Linked DNA regions of Saccharomyces cerevisiae S288C. Changing the gene in region 1 together with any one later gene gives a genetic interaction. Each region holds a gene or a part of one and is shown in the gene's direction. Other genes may lie near its edges.

Region 1 (3,643 bases):
ATTATTTTAACTACCAATACTGTATCAATTTTAAAACATTCGCAGATGATATATGCGCTAGAAAACGGTGAAATTGTTGAACAAGGGAATTATGAGGATGTAATGAACCGTAAGAACAATACTTCAAAACTGAAAAAATTACTAGAGGAATTTGATTCTCCGATTGATAATGGAAATGAAAGCGATGTCCAAACTGAACACCGATCCGAAAGTGAAGTGGATGAACCTCTGCAGCTTAAAGTAACTGAATCAGAAACTGAGGATGAGGTTGTTACTGAGAGTGAATTAGAACTAATCAAAGCCAATTCTAGAAGAGCTTCTCTAGCTACGCTAAGACCTAGACCCTTTGTGGGAGCACAATTGGATTCCGTGAAGAAAACGGCGCAAAAGGCCGAGAAGACAGAGGTGGGAAGAGTCAAAACAAAGATTTATCTTGCGTATATTAAGGCTTGTGGAGTTTTAGGTGTTGTTTTATTTTTCTTGTTTATGATATTAACAAGGGTTTTCGACTTAGCAGAGAATTTTTGGTTAAAGTACTGGTCAGAATCTAATGAAAAAAATGGTTCAAATGAAAGGGTTTGGATGTTTGTTGGTGTGTATTCCTTAATCGGAGTAGCATCGGCCGCATTCAATAATTTACGGAGTATTATGATGCTACTGTATTGTTCTATTAGGGGTTCTAAGAAACTGCATGAAAGCATGGCCAAATCTGTAATTAGAAGTCCTATGACTTTCTTTGAGACTACACCAGTTGGAAGGATCATAAACAGGTTCTCATCTGATATGGATGCAGTGGACAGTAATCTACAGTACATTTTCTCCTTTTTTTTCAAATCAATACTAACCTATTTGGTTACTGTTATATTAGTCGGGTACAATATGCCATGGTTTTTAGTGTTCAATATGTTTTTGGTGGTTATCTATATTTACTATCAAACATTTTACATTGTGCTATCTAGGGAGCTAAAAAGATTGATCAGTATATCTTACTCTCCGATTATGTCCTTAATGAGTGAGAGCTTGAACGGTTATTCTATTATTGATGCATACGATCATTTTGAGAGATTCATCTATCTAAATTATGAAAAAATCCAATACAACGTTGATTTTGTCTTCAACTTTAGATCAACGAATAGATGGTTATCCGTGAGATTGCAAACTATTGGTGCTACAATTGTTTTGGCTACTGCAATCTTAGCACTAGCAACAATGAATACTAAAAGGCAACTAAGTTCGGGTATGGTTGGTCTACTAATGAGCTATTCATTAGAGGTTACAGGTTCATTGACTTGGATTGTAAGGACAACTGTGACGATTGAAACCAACATTGTATCAGTGGAGAGAATTGTTGAGTACTGCGAATTACCACCTGAAGCACAGTCCATTAACCCTGAAAAGAGGCCAGATGAAAATTGGCCATCAAAGGGTGGTATTGAATTCAAAAACTATTCCACAAAATACAGAGAAAATTTGGATCCAGTGCTGAATAATATTAACGTGAAGATTGAGCCATGTGAAAAGGTTGGGATTGTTGGCAGAACAGGTGCAGGGAAGTCTACACTGAGCCTGGCATTATTTAGAATACTAGAACCTACCGAAGGTAAAATTATTATTGACGGCATTGATATATCCGACATAGGTCTGTTCGATTTAAGAAGCCATTTGGCAATTATTCCTCAGGATGCACAAGCTTTTGAAGGTACAGTAAAGACCAATTTGGACCCTTTCAATCGTTATTCAGAAGATGAACTTAAAAGGGCTGTTGAGCAGGCACATTTAAAGCCTCATCTGGAAAAAATGCTGCACAGTAAACCAAGAGGTGATGATTCTAATGAAGAGGATGGCAATGTTAATGATATTCTGGATGTCAAGATTAATGAGAACGGTAGTAACTTGTCAGTGGGGCAAAGACAACTACTATGTTTGGCAAGAGCGCTGCTAAACCGTTCCAAAATATTGGTCCTTGATGAAGCAACGGCTTCTGTGGATATGGAAACCGATAAAATTATCCAAGACACTATAAGAAGAGAATTTAAGGACCGTACCATCTTAACAATTGCACATCGTATCGACACTGTATTGGACAGTGATAAGATAATTGTTCTTGACCAGGGTAGTGTGAGGGAATTCGATTCACCCTCGAAATTGTTATCCGATAAAACGTCTATTTTTTACAGTCTTTGTGAGAAAGGTGGGTATTTGAAATAATGACATTGATTATTATATATGAAGATATAGAACATTTAATGCGCTGCAATATGTACGGTCACGCCAATTCTTTTTCTTTCTATATGCTTTCTAGTAACCCGGGTAATCACAAATGAAGCTAGTAGAGATATAACTAAATACAACTTAATTTTAACCTTATGTTGGATTGCTCAAGCAGTGTTCGAGAAAGACAGCGGCAGACAGATAGAAATGAGCTCAAATGAAGAGGTATTTACTCAGATAAACGCAACTGCGAATGTGGTTGATAATAAGAAGCGTTTACTTTTCGTGCAAGATAGCTCAGCACTTGTTCTAGGGCTTGTTGCAGGATTTTTGCAAATCGAGTCAGTCCATGGGTTTATTTGGTTCCTGATTCTGTACAACTTGATTAATGTCATTTACATTGTTTGGATCTGTCAACTTCAACCAGGAAAGTTCTACCAAAGCCCACTTCATGACATTTTTTTCGAATCGTTTTTTAGAGAGATAACTGGTTTTGTCATGGCATGGACATTTGGATACGCCCTAATCGGATGAACATATAAGAACTACTTCTATAAACGGTTAGAAACAGGCTTGATTTATTATGTACAGTAAATATAATGTTATTTGTGTTTTTTTTTTTTAAATTTTTTTAGTTCCTTCTATGTAAAAAGACATGACAACAGTATTCTCAGTCAAATGATTTCAAATACACAATGTTAAATTCTCTATCTGTTGCAGAAATAAGAAGAGCGTAAGAGCGCAAAGATTTTTGCAGAAAAATAGAGATGAGGTACAAAAAGTAGGTAATGGAAAAAAGCAAATAATGAATATAGGGGAACATAAATGTTATGGACAAGAGTAGATATCAAAATAAAACAAAATAAAATAGAGTAAGTGAAAGACAAATGGAGGAAAAAAAAAAAAAAAAAAAAAAAAAAAAAATAGTAAAAAGTGAAAGGAGAACGATGATAACACTAATCACACCTCCGCATTTTCAACCAATGCTGCAAGTTTCTCAACACTGGCTAAATGTCTATTTCCTAGGGAGTTAGATTTGTTTAGTTTATCCAAATATGCTCTAATGGCAATGACGATCAATTTCTTACCCTCACCCTCAGAGACATTAACTAATTTTTGAATCACATAGTTGGCAAATTGATCCTTGATCATTAAAATCATTGGAGAATCGTCTTCCAGATTCAAAGCATGATTTTTGTCTCTTGGTAAAATCTTAGAAATTATTAAATCCTTCTGATTTTTAGAGCCATAAAGAATAGATTTTTCGACCACGTTGGAGGCAAATTTATGTTTAGAGTATTCGACAACATTATTGGCCACAGTTTCTATGATTTCCTGTTTGATATCGACCATTTCCTTATTGGTGAACTGATCTTGTTGCAAAACATATTGAATGACATAGTTACCATATTGGTCTTGAATTAGATATGGT
Region 2 (4,726 bases), on another chromosome or scaffold:
CATTAGCGGATAATAGTTTTGTCTTAATTACAAAATCTGCGATGGGCTCAATTTTAGACACCGATCCGTCTGCAGCGTCCACCGACACGTACTTGTCCTCGTTTCTATGACGTTGCTTAATTGGTCTCAATAAGAAATCGGCCATCGGTTAAGGTCTGTTTGTTCGCTTTGAAAAGTCTGTTCCCTGTATTCCTTTTTCTTCCATGCATATGAATTCAAGAATTCCTAGTTTTTTTCTATCATTATTGTCTTCTGATTTTTTTTAAGGAAAAAAAATATCAAGAGTAAAAATAGTGATCAGGTACTGAATCCTGTATTTGTACAATACTGCAATCTAGCACCAAATTTGGCCAAGGAAGTGCCTATGTGTTCTCCAACTAATTTCTTATATGAGCCCTTTTCCAGCGATGCTGTGACGCAGAACTATGACCAAAATCTAAAATGCACCAAATGTGGCGCCTATTATTCGATGGCTTGTTCCCTACGAGAACAGAATGTTTGGACTTGTCTATTCTGCAACCAATCAAACTCAAATGCTGAATTGCCACTGGTACCTTCCAACACCTATACATTGACTTCTGCAAAGAAAGAAATACTTTCAAGACGGACCATTATGATTATAGACGCTATTTGCGATCCTCATGAGCTAAATTATTTAGTTTCCATTCTATGTAATAATTACATCACAAGACAACAAGAGCCACTATCAATAATTACTATTCAGCAATCAGGTCATGTGATTTTACACAATGCTGTGAATCACAGACGTGATGCTGTATTTTCAATAAATGAATTTATGACCAAATATAATCTTGATAAATTAAATGCCAGTTACTTCGAGAAAAAAATTTCAGAAATCAATCAAGAATCATACTGGTTTGATAAATCTACTCAGGGTTCTTTAAGAAAATTGCTACGGGAAATATGCAAGATTGCAAACAAAGTGAATATCAGTTCTAAAAGGGACAAGCGTTGCACCGGATTAGCGCTGTTCGTTTCATCCGTACTGGCGTCTCAGTGCAGTTTGTCAGCCTACTGTCATATAGTTTCATTCCTGAATGGTCCATGTACTAAGGGTGGCGGCAAAGTTATGTCAAGAGAACGTGGTGAAAGCATGAGACAAAACCACCATTTTGAATCCAAAAGTTCACAATTGCAACTATCAAAAAGTCCGACAAAATTTTACAAGAAAATGCTTGAAAAATTTGCAAACCAATCGTTAATCTATGAATTCTTTATAGCTTCATTGGATCAAATCGGTATACTCGAAATGAGTCCATTAATAACTTCGTCAATGGCAGTTTCTCAGTTTGATTCATTCAATGATGAGAGATTCGCAATGTCTTTTCAAAAGTACCTGAACTTGCGTGACCATAATGCCATTTACAATTGTCATTCAAAGATAATGACCGCAAAGAACGCTATTGTCGTTAAGGACTTCCCAAAATATAGCTTAAACCCTAAAAACCTTTCTCTACCATTAGAAATCTCACTAGGTCACAATTCAGCTGAAGCTCCTATACAGTTTCAAACCACTTTTGAAAATCAAACGGAAAAATACATAAGAATTGAAACCCTCTTATTGCCAAAAGCCAATAGATCATTTGGGGCACAAAATGAAATTGTGTTTTCAATGAAAAAGATAGCCTCACGAATTATCGATAGCTTTGCTTACTCATCCAAGCACACTAAAGAATTGATGAAGCAATTGTTTCTATTACCAAATCAAATCCGGGGAAAAGACGTAGATATGGTCAATCTGATACAGTGGTGTTATCATATATATAGGTCTCCAATTCTATCGGTTCGGAATACTTCACCTGATGAAAGGTACCTTTTTCTTCACCGAATAATAAACGCTTCTAAAGACACATGCCTTTCATTATGCAAACCCTTCATCTGGAGTTACAGTGATTTGAAACACGACTGGATCGTGTTGGATGTCCCATTAACAAGAGCCCAGATACTTCAAGATGATAAAACCACCATTTGTGTAGATGGTGGCTCGTACTTAGTTTTAAGAAGGGGAAAACTTTTGGAAAAAGAAGGTCGCGAGCTCTGTTGCAAGCTTTTAAATGACTTGCAAAGGTTTCCGCAGCCATTATATGTTGAAACTAAAACCGGTGGCAGTCAGGACCGTTTCTTGAAAAGCAAAATTATTCCCTTGGACATCACTGACAAGGAAACTCTTGGTACAGAGGATATGACATTCAATGAATATTTCAACTTGTTCACCGATCTAAGTGGAAGCAAATAACTCGCTAAATATTCTTGCTGCACTTTGCGACGCCTGTATTGGCGAAAACAAAAAGTAAAGAAAAAAAAACTTTAGATGAAATAGAGCAAAATTCCCTAAGACAATAGAAGATACAAAAGCAAGTTGGGCCCTTAATTTCATCAAAGGTATAGCATCTCATCAAATAGTCGCTTGTTTATCGCAATACTTGCTTATTGAGTAGTTGTATTATAACGTTATATAGGATCTTCCATATGGAAAGTTTTGAAAATTTGAGCATAAGAGACAGTTTCACTAGCGGAATGGAACACGTTGACGAGGAGTTAGGAGGCCTCTCCGACCTAAGTATATCTAAGCAGGGGCCAACTTTGTCACCACAGCTTATCAACCGATTTATGCCCCATTTTCCCTCGAGCCCATCACCTCTGCGAAATACATTGGATTTTAGTGCTGCTAAAGCTGATGAGGAAGAAGATGACCGAATGGAAATAGATGAGGTTGATGATACAAGTTTTGAAGAAGAATATAATAACGAGCCAATCGAAACTCATACTGAAGCGACTGAGAATGCCGTGGTGGAAGAAATCGAGGCTACCCCAGAAGAAAGACAAAAGCAAGAGAAGAATGAAAGCCAAGACCAAAGTGTAGAAGAGGTCGAGAACATTGTTTCACCGCATCGTTCAACTGTCATAAAGGCATTATTATCACCGACCGATTTAGGTGTGGCCGCAGCTACTAAAGTTGAAGGTGTTGTGCCATTACCACCATCGGCCAATCAAGATGACAATGAAAGTTCGAATAACAACGCAGAGGGTGAAGACATAATCAGAAATGAAGAAGTCGAAGATGAGATCAAATCATCACTTGGCAACCACAAGTCAAGCCAGTACGCAAATGCGTTCGATTCGGAAATAATCAAGAGGGAATTAAGATCAAGATCAAAATATCAACCAATTCAGGTTTCATTCAATACACACAACTACTTCTATTCAGATAAGGACGGCATTAAAACTTATTCTCTTACTAAACCAAATCACAATAAAATAGATGAATTTTACGACCAAAATGAAGCTTTCAAGTTGCCTAAACCATGGTCACCCAATTCACATCCGGCATCAAGAGCGTCATATGCCCTAATGTCATATTTACAGTTATTTCTCAATGCGATCACTACAGTAGTGATTTTTAGTTTTATACTCTCATTTATCATAGCGCTTCAAAAGGACTTGAAATCCACATGGGAACAAAGAAAACATGAACTGCAGTACGAATCCAGAATTTGTCAAGAGCAGTACCTCACAAATCGTTGTAACCAGACGCCTGGCTTGCCGGCTCTGGGCGAACAATGTGCTATATGGAAACAGTGTATGGACAGAAATAACGATATCTTTTTCCGTGCAAGATCAACGTTGAGCGCAAAATTGTTCGGAGACATTATCAACTCATTCATAGATCCATTAAACTGGAAAACACTATTTGTTATTTTTTGTGGTGTGATAACTTGGTGTTTCAGTTCGAATTTCTTACTGGGTTTTGTAAGAGCCAAGAGCTACTATGGCAATGGCATCAAAACATATCCCTTGCCATCTTCACCGAAATCGCCGACATCAGAAGAAACACACTCATCTATGACAGCATCTGGAGAGGACTCACACCTACTTAAGCAATAGATTGTGCTATCTGGGACAGTAACAATGCTTATCTACGCCATCGGACATCTCGGGAAGCCAACTCCGAAGCCGACAAAAATTGGATAGGCCTACTATATAAGGGTGACAGGACAGCTGACTTTACTCCAGAAGTATATCCATGGAAAATATGTAATAATACAAACAAGTTAATATAATCTATATTGTATAGAAGGCCAATTCAAATTCACAGGAATTATGCTATCAGCAAGGTGCCTCAAATCTATATACTTCAAGAGATCTTTCTCACAACTGGGACACATCAAGCCCCCCAAGCACATAAGAAATGAACCTGTTAAGCCATTTAGAAACATAGACTTAAAAGACTGGGACTTACTGAGGGCTTCCTTGATGAAATTCAAAAGTTCTTCTTTAGAAGTGCCACTGGTCATCAATGGGGAAAGGATATATGACAATAATGAAAGAGCGCTTTTCCCGCAGACTAACCCTGCGAACCATCAACAAGTACTGGCAAACGTCACACAAGCCACGGAAAAAGATGTCATGAATGCTGTAAAAGCCGCCAAGGATGCCAAAAAGGATTGGTACAATCTACCGTTTTATGACAGATCTGCAATTTTTTTGAAAGCCGCTGACTTAATTTCCACCAAGTATCGTTATGACATGTTAGCTGCTACAATGCTGGGCCAGGGAAAAAATGTGTATCAGGCAGAAATCGACTGTATCACGGAATTATCTGACTTTTTTAGATACTATGTCAAGTATGCATCAGACTTGTATGCTCAACAACCCGTAGAGTCAGCGGATGGTACTTGGAATAAAGCTGAATACAGACCTTTAG
Region 3 (4,130 bases), on another chromosome or scaffold:
AGCAAAGGACCCCTTGATGGATTCTCTGCAATATTTAAATGTTAAGAAATTATTGATAGTATATGGGCAATATGATTGGATGAATAAAAAAGCCGGTATGTTCATGGTCAAAGAGTTGAACAATTTAAAGAACTGTCTAGAAGGAGCAAGTTATTTAGAAATACCTTCTTCCGGTCACAATCTTTTTTTAGATAACCCAGAATCATTCAACCAATCTATAGTGTCCTTCTTATCAGACGAAACTAAATCGCCTTGATAGCAACCAAATCAAGTAGCAAAGAGCCAAAAAATGTGTTAATGTATGCTATCCCCCTTTTTGCTTTTGCGCTCCTCACACCTCTTTTCTTTGCTTTGAAATTTTTCTCAAATAAAATCTTTACAATCATCGCTACTAGTTAATTCATCCAATTTAGTGAGGAATAACGGATCAAATTCCACTAAATTTTCTAATCGAGATATGCTATTCGAATAATCCTCCGATACAGGGTCTTTCGGATATTCCCTGGGGAAATACTCTGTGTCACTTTCTTTTGAAGGAAGGATCATCGAGGGTGAAGAATCGCTTCCACTTGACTGTTGTAACAAATCTTTTTCTACCTTAACCATTTTATTTACATCAAATCGACGACTATGGTATGATTTTTTCTGTTTTTGGGCTAGGTCATTTAAATCATCAAGTGATATGGTCTTCTGCTTGAAATCTTTGTTGCACAAGCATTTCGCAATTTCGAAAACATTTTTCATGATTACTTTCTTCACAGTTTCTTTCTTAAAAATGGTCATTGCGGCGGTCACTCCTGTAAGCTCGTCCAAAATCTCAAGGCTGAAGGGAGATTGCGGTAGAACATTCATAATTATCGTGCACATCAATTTCAGTCGATCCGCTTTCTGGAGGTGGTCCGGCTCTTTATGTTCTACATCTTTTGGCCACCATTCCGGCCTTCCAGCATTGCCTTTAATGTATGGAAACCTGGTTTTCTTCCTTGGCTCAATAATTTTTATCCACAACTTAGCAATCGCCTTGCATGGGACCTGTCTTAATAATTTAAAAGCCGTATACAGATAATTCTGTATTAGTAGGGGTTGATCTAAGGGTAGCATGATCGCTGGTTGGATATTTTCTTCATAAACAGTTATTCTTTTCCTATTTACCAATGGATCGAACGTGAGTGGAGGGTTTTTTTCAATTGAAGATGATATAAAACTCTCTGAGAACAAGTTTTTTGGAATTGACTCACTTATTAAATGGTCTTTTTCCTTTATGAACACCATAAACTCATATCCTTGACCATTTAGCAGCGCCAGCGCCCTTCTAAGCTCTTCCATACCTATACGCATGTACTTAAGCTGACTCTATCGAAAAATGACGTACGCACAAATGCACATGTATACATACGCAATCCATCCTTTATATAAGCTGAGAAACAAGCAGAGGAACCTGCTTCAGTTGGGCCATCCCTTCGATGCTATATACTTCTAATCTTAAACTCTTCACTAAGACTTCGCAGGCACCGCTTCAAGGATGTCTCAGGTCGCGAGATTACTACAACAACTTAAAACAACCCTGATGCAACTGCAGCGTGCTGTTTTTCAACAGTACAAGAAAAAGTTCCATATTGTGCCATTGCCGATGCCATTGCAAAGGAATTTGTTCTCAGTCGCATCTCTCCTTTACTGCAGATCTGAGTTACTTTGAATCCTTGATAATATGGATCGAGTGCCTCTTCCATTATTTCTATTATTATAATCTCAACGCTTAATATGAATTAACCAACCACACTCAAACCAAATCTACGCCAGCTACAAATGGTAGGAGAATGAAGACACACCAGGACTCAAACAGGATTTCCCAACAATGTCTTTCAACATGCTGCTTGCCGGTCACTACTGCACTTCCTGCGCCTTTTCCGTTGAATCACCCTCCATAGTGCGGCAGATGGAACCAACCTAACCTTTTTTCAGCAGGAGGTAAAAAATTCGCCGGTTTTCTATCTCCCTCCGTCATCGGCAGGGCGTTGACACCTGTCCAAGTACAACACACATGTGAATTTTTTTCAGTGATTAAAGGCTCATCTCATCATATCTTATTGTAATCAGTATTTGGCGTCATAAGCAATTCGAAATTGGTTCGGTTCCATCTCGTTGACGTGCAATAAATAAATACATGGAACAGCAAAGGAGAAAATGCAACAAGCAACTGGGAACGAATTACTGGGTATCCTAGATCTGGATAACGATATAGACTTTGAAACTGCTTACCAAATGCTCAGCAGTAACTTCGACGACCAAATGTCTGCGCACATACATGAAAACACGTTTAGTGCAACTTCCCCTCCTCTGTTAACACACGAGCTCGGCATAATTCCTAACGTAGCAACCGTGCAACCCTCTCACGTAGAAACTATACCTGCCGATAACCAAACTCATCATGCTCCTTTGCATACTCATGCACACTATCTAAATCACAACCCTCATCAACCAAGCATGGGTTTTGATCAAGCGCTTGGTCTCAAGTTGTCTCCTTCCAGTTCGGGGTTGTTGAGCACGAATGAATCGAATGCCATTGAACAGTTTTTAGACAATCTAATATCACAGGATATGATGTCTTCCAACGCTTCCATGAACTCCGAATCACATCTACATATAAGATCACCAAAAAAGCAGCATAGGTATACCGAATTAAATCAAAGATATCCTGAAACACATCCACACAGTAACACAGGGGAGTTACCCACAAACACAGCAGATGTGCCAACTGAGTTCACCACGAGGGAAGGACCTCATCAGCCTATCGGCAATGACCACTACAACCCGCCACCGTTTTCAGTACCTGAGATACGAATCCCAGACTCTGATATTCCAGCCAATATCGAGGACGACCCTGTGAAGGTACGGAAATGGAAACACGTTCAAATGGAGAAGATACGAAGAATAAACACCAAAGAAGCCTTTGAAAGGCTCATTAAATCAGTAAGGACCCCACCGAAGGAAAACGGGAAAAGAATTCCCAAGCATATTCTTTTAACTTGTGTAATGAACGATATCAAGTCCATTAGAAGCGCAAATGAAGCACTACAGCACATACTGGATGATTCCTGAGCTCATACAAGCTATTAGTGATGAAAATGGCCTCCCGTTGGATGTATTTTTAGTTAATTTCGTATACATGGGCGAAAATATCATATGATTGCAAAGCTGGTCATGTAAATATATTCATTATAAACCAGACGGTAGAAAATCTCGTTTCTTTCCAGAGTGTAGCGTAGATTTTTGCGGACAAGAATTACCAGTATCTTCATTTTATTTAGAAGTTAAGAGAATCCGGAGGCAATGATGGTGAAGTAAAGAAATCTTTCAACGGCGAAGTATAATCTGTCTTCACAAACAGAATAACTGCGTACAAACTCGCAGTTATATGACCGTTACGAGTTGTATTGATTCAGTGAAGTAATAGTCCTATTACATCCATATGAATCCTGTCCTGGTAAACGGTGCAATGATCGCTCTACGTATACAAATTCTCTCCATCAATCGATGATGAACTGCTTTACACATAAAGTACGTGCCATTTATTTATAAATAATACCAATTAAGGGACGAAAATATTAACTGCTGAGTGTCTGCTTAGGTCCATTCTATTTCTTCTTTCCAAAAGAGAATAAAAAGAATCTATATATATATATAAATTTCTATCGAACGGATATTCTTGTTTTCGAATATCAAAAATGTAAGCTGTGGTTTCTCAGGGAACGTGTTACTTACAACTTTAGTTCTTTTAATATACTAGAAGCCAGCTCTTTATACAACCAAGTGTTCCCAGAAATTTTCTTAAAATGCACACCGGCTAAACCAACAATACGAACCTTGACGATATGAATTTCGAATTTGATGGGCTCTTTTTCTGTTGTAGTCATGCCTTCGCTACCGTCACCTTGTTGGTGGATGTTCTCCAAAGATGTTCCCGAATGCTTATCATCTCCATAGGTTTCGGTAATAGATGTTTTTCTCTGGTGAATGGAATTAGTTGTCAAAGGAGAAGAAGGTGAGTATTTATTAGAGCCTTGACGTCTAATGGATTCGTGGTGCGAAAGTGGCATGATCGATCTTGGAGTCCCTTCTCTCTTCGCTGC
Region 4 (4,415 bases), on another chromosome or scaffold:
GCTAAAAAAATATCAAAGAAAATTATTAAGTTAGGAGGTATATTTTCTAAAGATTTGACCAGACAAGTTAATGTCCTTGTTGTTGGGTCCACCACCAATACAAACAAATTTAAATTTGCGGTGAAGCATAGATTCGATATCATATTTATTGACATTCAAGCCATTGATGACATTTATCAGCTCTGGCTGTCTGGAGAAAATATATTGCCGGACTCTAATACGGCAACAATGACAGGATCCACCTATGAGATGCTGAAGATACTTTACCGGCGATTTTCGTTTAAATATTTGCATAACTTCAATATCTTCATTGGCAGAATAACCGACACTAACATAACTTCCATCGATTCATTGGTTAGGAGTATTAAAAAGTTAGGGTGTTCTAGTTATAACTATCAAAACTTTGTAATCAAAGATACCTCTTCACACAATGATGACGATGATCAAGGTCAGAATGGGCAGATATCCATTTTTGTTACGGATACTTTACTAGGAGCAAGAGTTAACGCTGCTATTGAACAAAATATACCTATTGTACATTTCAAATGGATTCTCGATTGCCAAAAAAGAAGCGCACTGTTACCGTACGATCCCTATTATCTTTTACCAAATATTAAAGACCTGCCCTATGATTCAATCGGATCAAACTCTTGCGATTGCTGGGATAAAATAAACACCACCTTTCCAACCAATATCGATGCCCAATCCTCTCTGCAGCGGCAGCAATCCTCCAGTACCCTGACTCCTTCGCTCCCGAAAACATCATCCCTCTTGAATAAATTTAAACCAAAGGGTGAAAAAATATGGGACAAGGCAATGTCTCTACAGCAGCATAGTAAGACAAATTTTTCAGTACTAGGGCAGTCACCATTATCGATAAATAACAAACAAGAAGATTTAAGTGATAATAGTACTTTGATTTTCAAAAATTGTGCGTTTATCATTCATCATATTTTTCCTGGCAATCACCGTTCAATACTAACCAAAATTGTTGTTCAAAATGGGGGTAAAATTGAGACGTCTTACTTGAGCGGCATTTACGATCATTCTTATTACATCATTCCAAGTAATAAAGCTCTTGACTCCTTCAATGATTTACCTGAGATTATAGATGATAATGATGGTATAGTTACAGAATTTTTCATTGAACGCTGCTTGTATTATCAAAAATTACTACACCCAATAGATTTATGGTCAAAACCCTTCCTCAGCACAATAGAGTTTCAAGTTTCGTCTTCTTCAAAGTTATTGCATCATGAATTTTCTTCTTCCCCTTTTCTGAATGTTACTATCACTGGATTCTCTGGCGTAGAGCTGTTACATCTGACTAAAGTATTAAATCTTCTAAAACCAATGGGCATCAATTATGTAGAATACCTCAATAAATCCACTGACATTCTGCTAATCAACTTAGCAGCTTTACCCAGTATCCCGAAAACCCATCCGTTATGGTCGAATGAATTTAGCGATCTTTTTACTCAGTTTTGCATTAATAACAATAATGATGATCCTGGTGATAATAACAGAAAAGATTTTCAAAATAATTCAATCTTGAGAAATTCGATGAAAAGGAAAATTGAATATATCAAGAAATTCCACTCCATACCGGTAGTTACTCCAGCATTTATTTTTAAATTATTGTCCGCTGCATCTGGAGAAAATAATGAAATCTTTTTAAACAATATCAAGTGGTGTATTATCTGCCCAAGAGGACACAAGGACGATTTTAAATGTAAGATAAAAAAACCATACTATACCAGCATTAGTTCAGAAAAAAAGTACCAAAACAATGATCCAAAAATCGACAAAACTATTCTTTTGAAAAGAAACAATTCCTCATTATCGGAGCACTCTATGAAAGATACCAAAAACGAATTATTGCAGAAAATTAGAGAAACTGATTCTGGAAGAAAAAAGCGTAGTGTCTCATCGAGTATCATGGATGTTTCTTCAGAGAGACAAATGCCGGATACGAAAAGGATCAAGTTGGAGTCACTGCCAAAAAATTTCGTTCCTAAACAAATTAAACGAACCACGAGTTGGGGCACAATAATGTCAGAAAATGTGCCTACAGAGCAGCCGACTGCAATTTCTAATCCAGAAGAGATCCCAAGAACTGAGGAAGTTTCACATACTCAAGTTACCTATGGCTCCATTCAAGATAAGAAACGTACTGCCTCTTTAGAAAAACCTATGAGACGACAGACAAGAAATCAGACAAAGGAATTAGATTCTTGAAATGTAGTCCGTAATTTTATAAGATATTCATTTACATACGCCATCTACAGCATTATTCAAATCTACTCATCTATATGTATTACCGTTTTGTATGATAATACTTTCCATGACATGCTCGCGTGAAAAAACAGCATGAGAAAAAGAGGATCGCAATAAGAAGACACGTAAATATCTAAATAAATGGCAACAGTACATCAGAAGAATATGTCGACTTTAAAACAGAGAAAAGAGGACTTTGTGACAGGGCTCAATGGCGGTTCTATAACAGAAATTAACGCAGTGACATCAATTGCTTTGGTAACTTACATATCATGGAACTTATTGAAAAATTCCAACCTTATGCCTCCTGGCATTTCCAGCGTGCAATACATAATTGATTTTGCATTGAACTGGGTTGCTTTGCTTCTATCTATTACTATTTATGCTAGTGAACCATACCTTCTAAACACGCTAATACTGTTACCTTGTTTGCTCGCATTCATATATGGAAAATTTACTAGCTCGAGTAAACCTTCTAATCCAATATACAATAAAAAAAAAATGATTACACAGCGGTTCCAACTAGAAAAAAAGCCGTATATTACTGCGTATCGTGGTGGGATGCTTATTCTGACTGCTATTGCCATCTTGGCTGTAGATTTTCCAATTTTCCCAAGGAGGTTTGCCAAGGTGGAAACTTGGGGGACATCCCTGATGGATCTTGGTGTAGGATCATTCGTTTTCAGTAACGGTATTGTTTCTTCTAGGGCACTGTTGAAAAACCTAAGCTTGAAGAGTAAACCCAGCTTCTTAAAAAATGCATTTAATGCCTTAAAATCAGGAGGAACTCTATTGTTCCTAGGATTGCTGAGGTTGTTTTTTGTAAAAAATTTGGAATATCAAGAACATGTCACAGAATATGGGGTTCATTGGAATTTTTTTATCACCCTATCATTGTTGCCACTTGTATTGACCTTTATTGATCCCGTCACAAGAATGGTTCCACGCTGCTCAATTGCAATATTCATTTCATGCATTTATGAATGGCTACTTTTAAAGGACGATCGCACTTTAAACTTTTTAATTTTGGCTGATAGAAATTGTTTCTTCAGTGCTAATAGAGAAGGCATCTTCTCATTTCTAGGTTATTGCTCGATTTTTCTTTGGGGCCAAAACACGGGATTTTACTTGTTGGGAAATAAACCAACTTTAAACAATCTTTATAAGCCTTCTACGCAAGACGTAGTTGCAGCATCAAAGAAGTCTTCGACTTGGGACTATTGGACTTCAGTAACCCCATTAAGTGGCCTCTGTATATGGAGTACAATTTTTCTTGTTATCAGCCAGTTGGTTTTTCAATACCATCCTTATAGTGTTTCAAGAAGGTTTGCTAACTTACCATATACTTTGTGGGTCATTACTTATAATTTACTATTTTTGACTGGGTACTGCTTGACTGACAAAATTTTCGGTAATTCTTCGGAATATTATAAAGTTGCCGAATGCTTGGAATCAATCAACTCCAATGGGTTGTTTTTATTTTTGTTGGCAAATGTCTCTACTGGTTTAGTCAATATGTCTATGGTCACGATAGATTCTTCACCCTTAAAATCATTCCTGGTTTTGTTGGCATACTGCTCATTCATAGCTGTCATATCGGTTTTCTTGTATAGAAAAAGAATATTCATTAAGCTATAATAACACACCATCCACATTTCCATGTAGTTCGTATACAAACCCTACCAGTAAAATAAAATTAACTCCTATGTGCTTTAAATAAAAATTATAAACCGCCTCCAATAGTTGACGTAGTCAGGCATGAAAGTGCTACTAATCGATGACTATGATTTCACCGTTGTTTAATTTTGACTTTTTTTTCGCACGTGACAGCTGAGAAAATATATCCATTTGACTTGATGCAGGTTCATTCTTCACCTTTTTGGAAAATTTCTGTGTCTTTTTCATTGCTGCGTCAGCCAAAAACTTAGCATTGGAGATTATTGGACGATTGTCAACTGTAGTGTCATCCGGATTATGTAATAACTCAGCAGCTGTTGTATTTCTGCTGTCATCTTCCTCAAATTCACTCTTCAAATCTATCACTTCCTCCACCTTAACCTTGTCACCTCTCTTAGACTTTCTATTTCGAGTTTTTGGTTTTATTTTTTTCGTCTTTTTCGAGCCCAAAAGCTCTCTCC

What was found.
Region 2: mutations in EMC6 (region 1) and BRL1 together harm fitness more than expected from each alone (negative genetic interaction), as found in Saccharomyces cerevisiae (2 studies listed by BioGRID).
Region 3: mutations in EMC6 (region 1) and INO2 together harm fitness more than expected from each alone (negative genetic interaction), as found in Saccharomyces cerevisiae (4 studies listed by BioGRID, with this or other methods).
Region 4: mutations in EMC6 (region 1) and GWT1 together harm fitness more than expected from each alone (negative genetic interaction), as found in Saccharomyces cerevisiae (2 studies listed by BioGRID).

The regions. Positions count from the first base shown.
Region 1 is NC_001144.5:118,904-122,546, forward strand, and holds EMC6 (Emc6p), read left to right. Parts: upstream 1-2,418; coding exon 2,419-2,745; downstream 2,746-3,643. Other genes in the region: ATP-binding cassette bilirubin transporter BPT1, read left to right, coding at 1-2,208; mRNA-binding protein PUF3, read right to left, coding at 3,172-3,643. UniProt on the Saccharomyces cerevisiae protein: Part of the endoplasmic reticulum membrane protein complex (EMC) that enables the energy-independent insertion into endoplasmic reticulum membranes of newly synthesized membrane proteins.
Region 2 is NC_001140.6:177,855-182,580, forward strand, and holds BRL1 (Brl1p), read left to right. Parts: upstream 1-2,490; coding exon 2,491-3,906; downstream 3,907-4,726. Other genes in the region: PIH1 (Pih1p), read right to left, coding at 1-145; GTPase-activating protein NEL1, read left to right, coding at 365-2,257; PUT2 (1-pyrroline-5-carboxylate dehydrogenase), read left to right, coding at 4,123-4,726. UniProt on the Saccharomyces cerevisiae protein: Involved in mRNA and protein export from nucleus.
Region 3 is NC_001136.10:697,523-701,652, reverse strand, and holds INO2 (Ino2p), read left to right. Parts: upstream 1-2,184; coding exon 2,185-3,099; downstream 3,100-4,130. Other genes in the region: ECM18 (alpha/beta hydrolase family protein), read left to right, coding at 1-256; YDR124W (uncharacterized protein), read right to left, coding at 364-1,338; serine/threonine protein kinase KIN1, read right to left, coding at 3,759-4,130. UniProt on the Saccharomyces cerevisiae protein: Positive regulatory factor required for depression of the coregulated phospholipid biosynthetic enzymes. Also involved in the expression of ITR1.
Region 4 is NC_001142.9:260,580-264,994, reverse strand, and holds GWT1 (glucosaminyl-phosphotidylinositol O-acyltransferase), read left to right. Parts: upstream 1-2,442; coding exon 2,443-3,915; downstream 3,916-4,415. Other genes in the region: protein kinase activating protein DPB11, read left to right, coding at 1-2,238; DNA helicase SRS2, read right to left, coding at 4,048-4,415. UniProt on the Saccharomyces cerevisiae protein: Probable acetyltransferase, which acetylates the inositol ring of phosphatidylinositol during biosynthesis of GPI-anchor.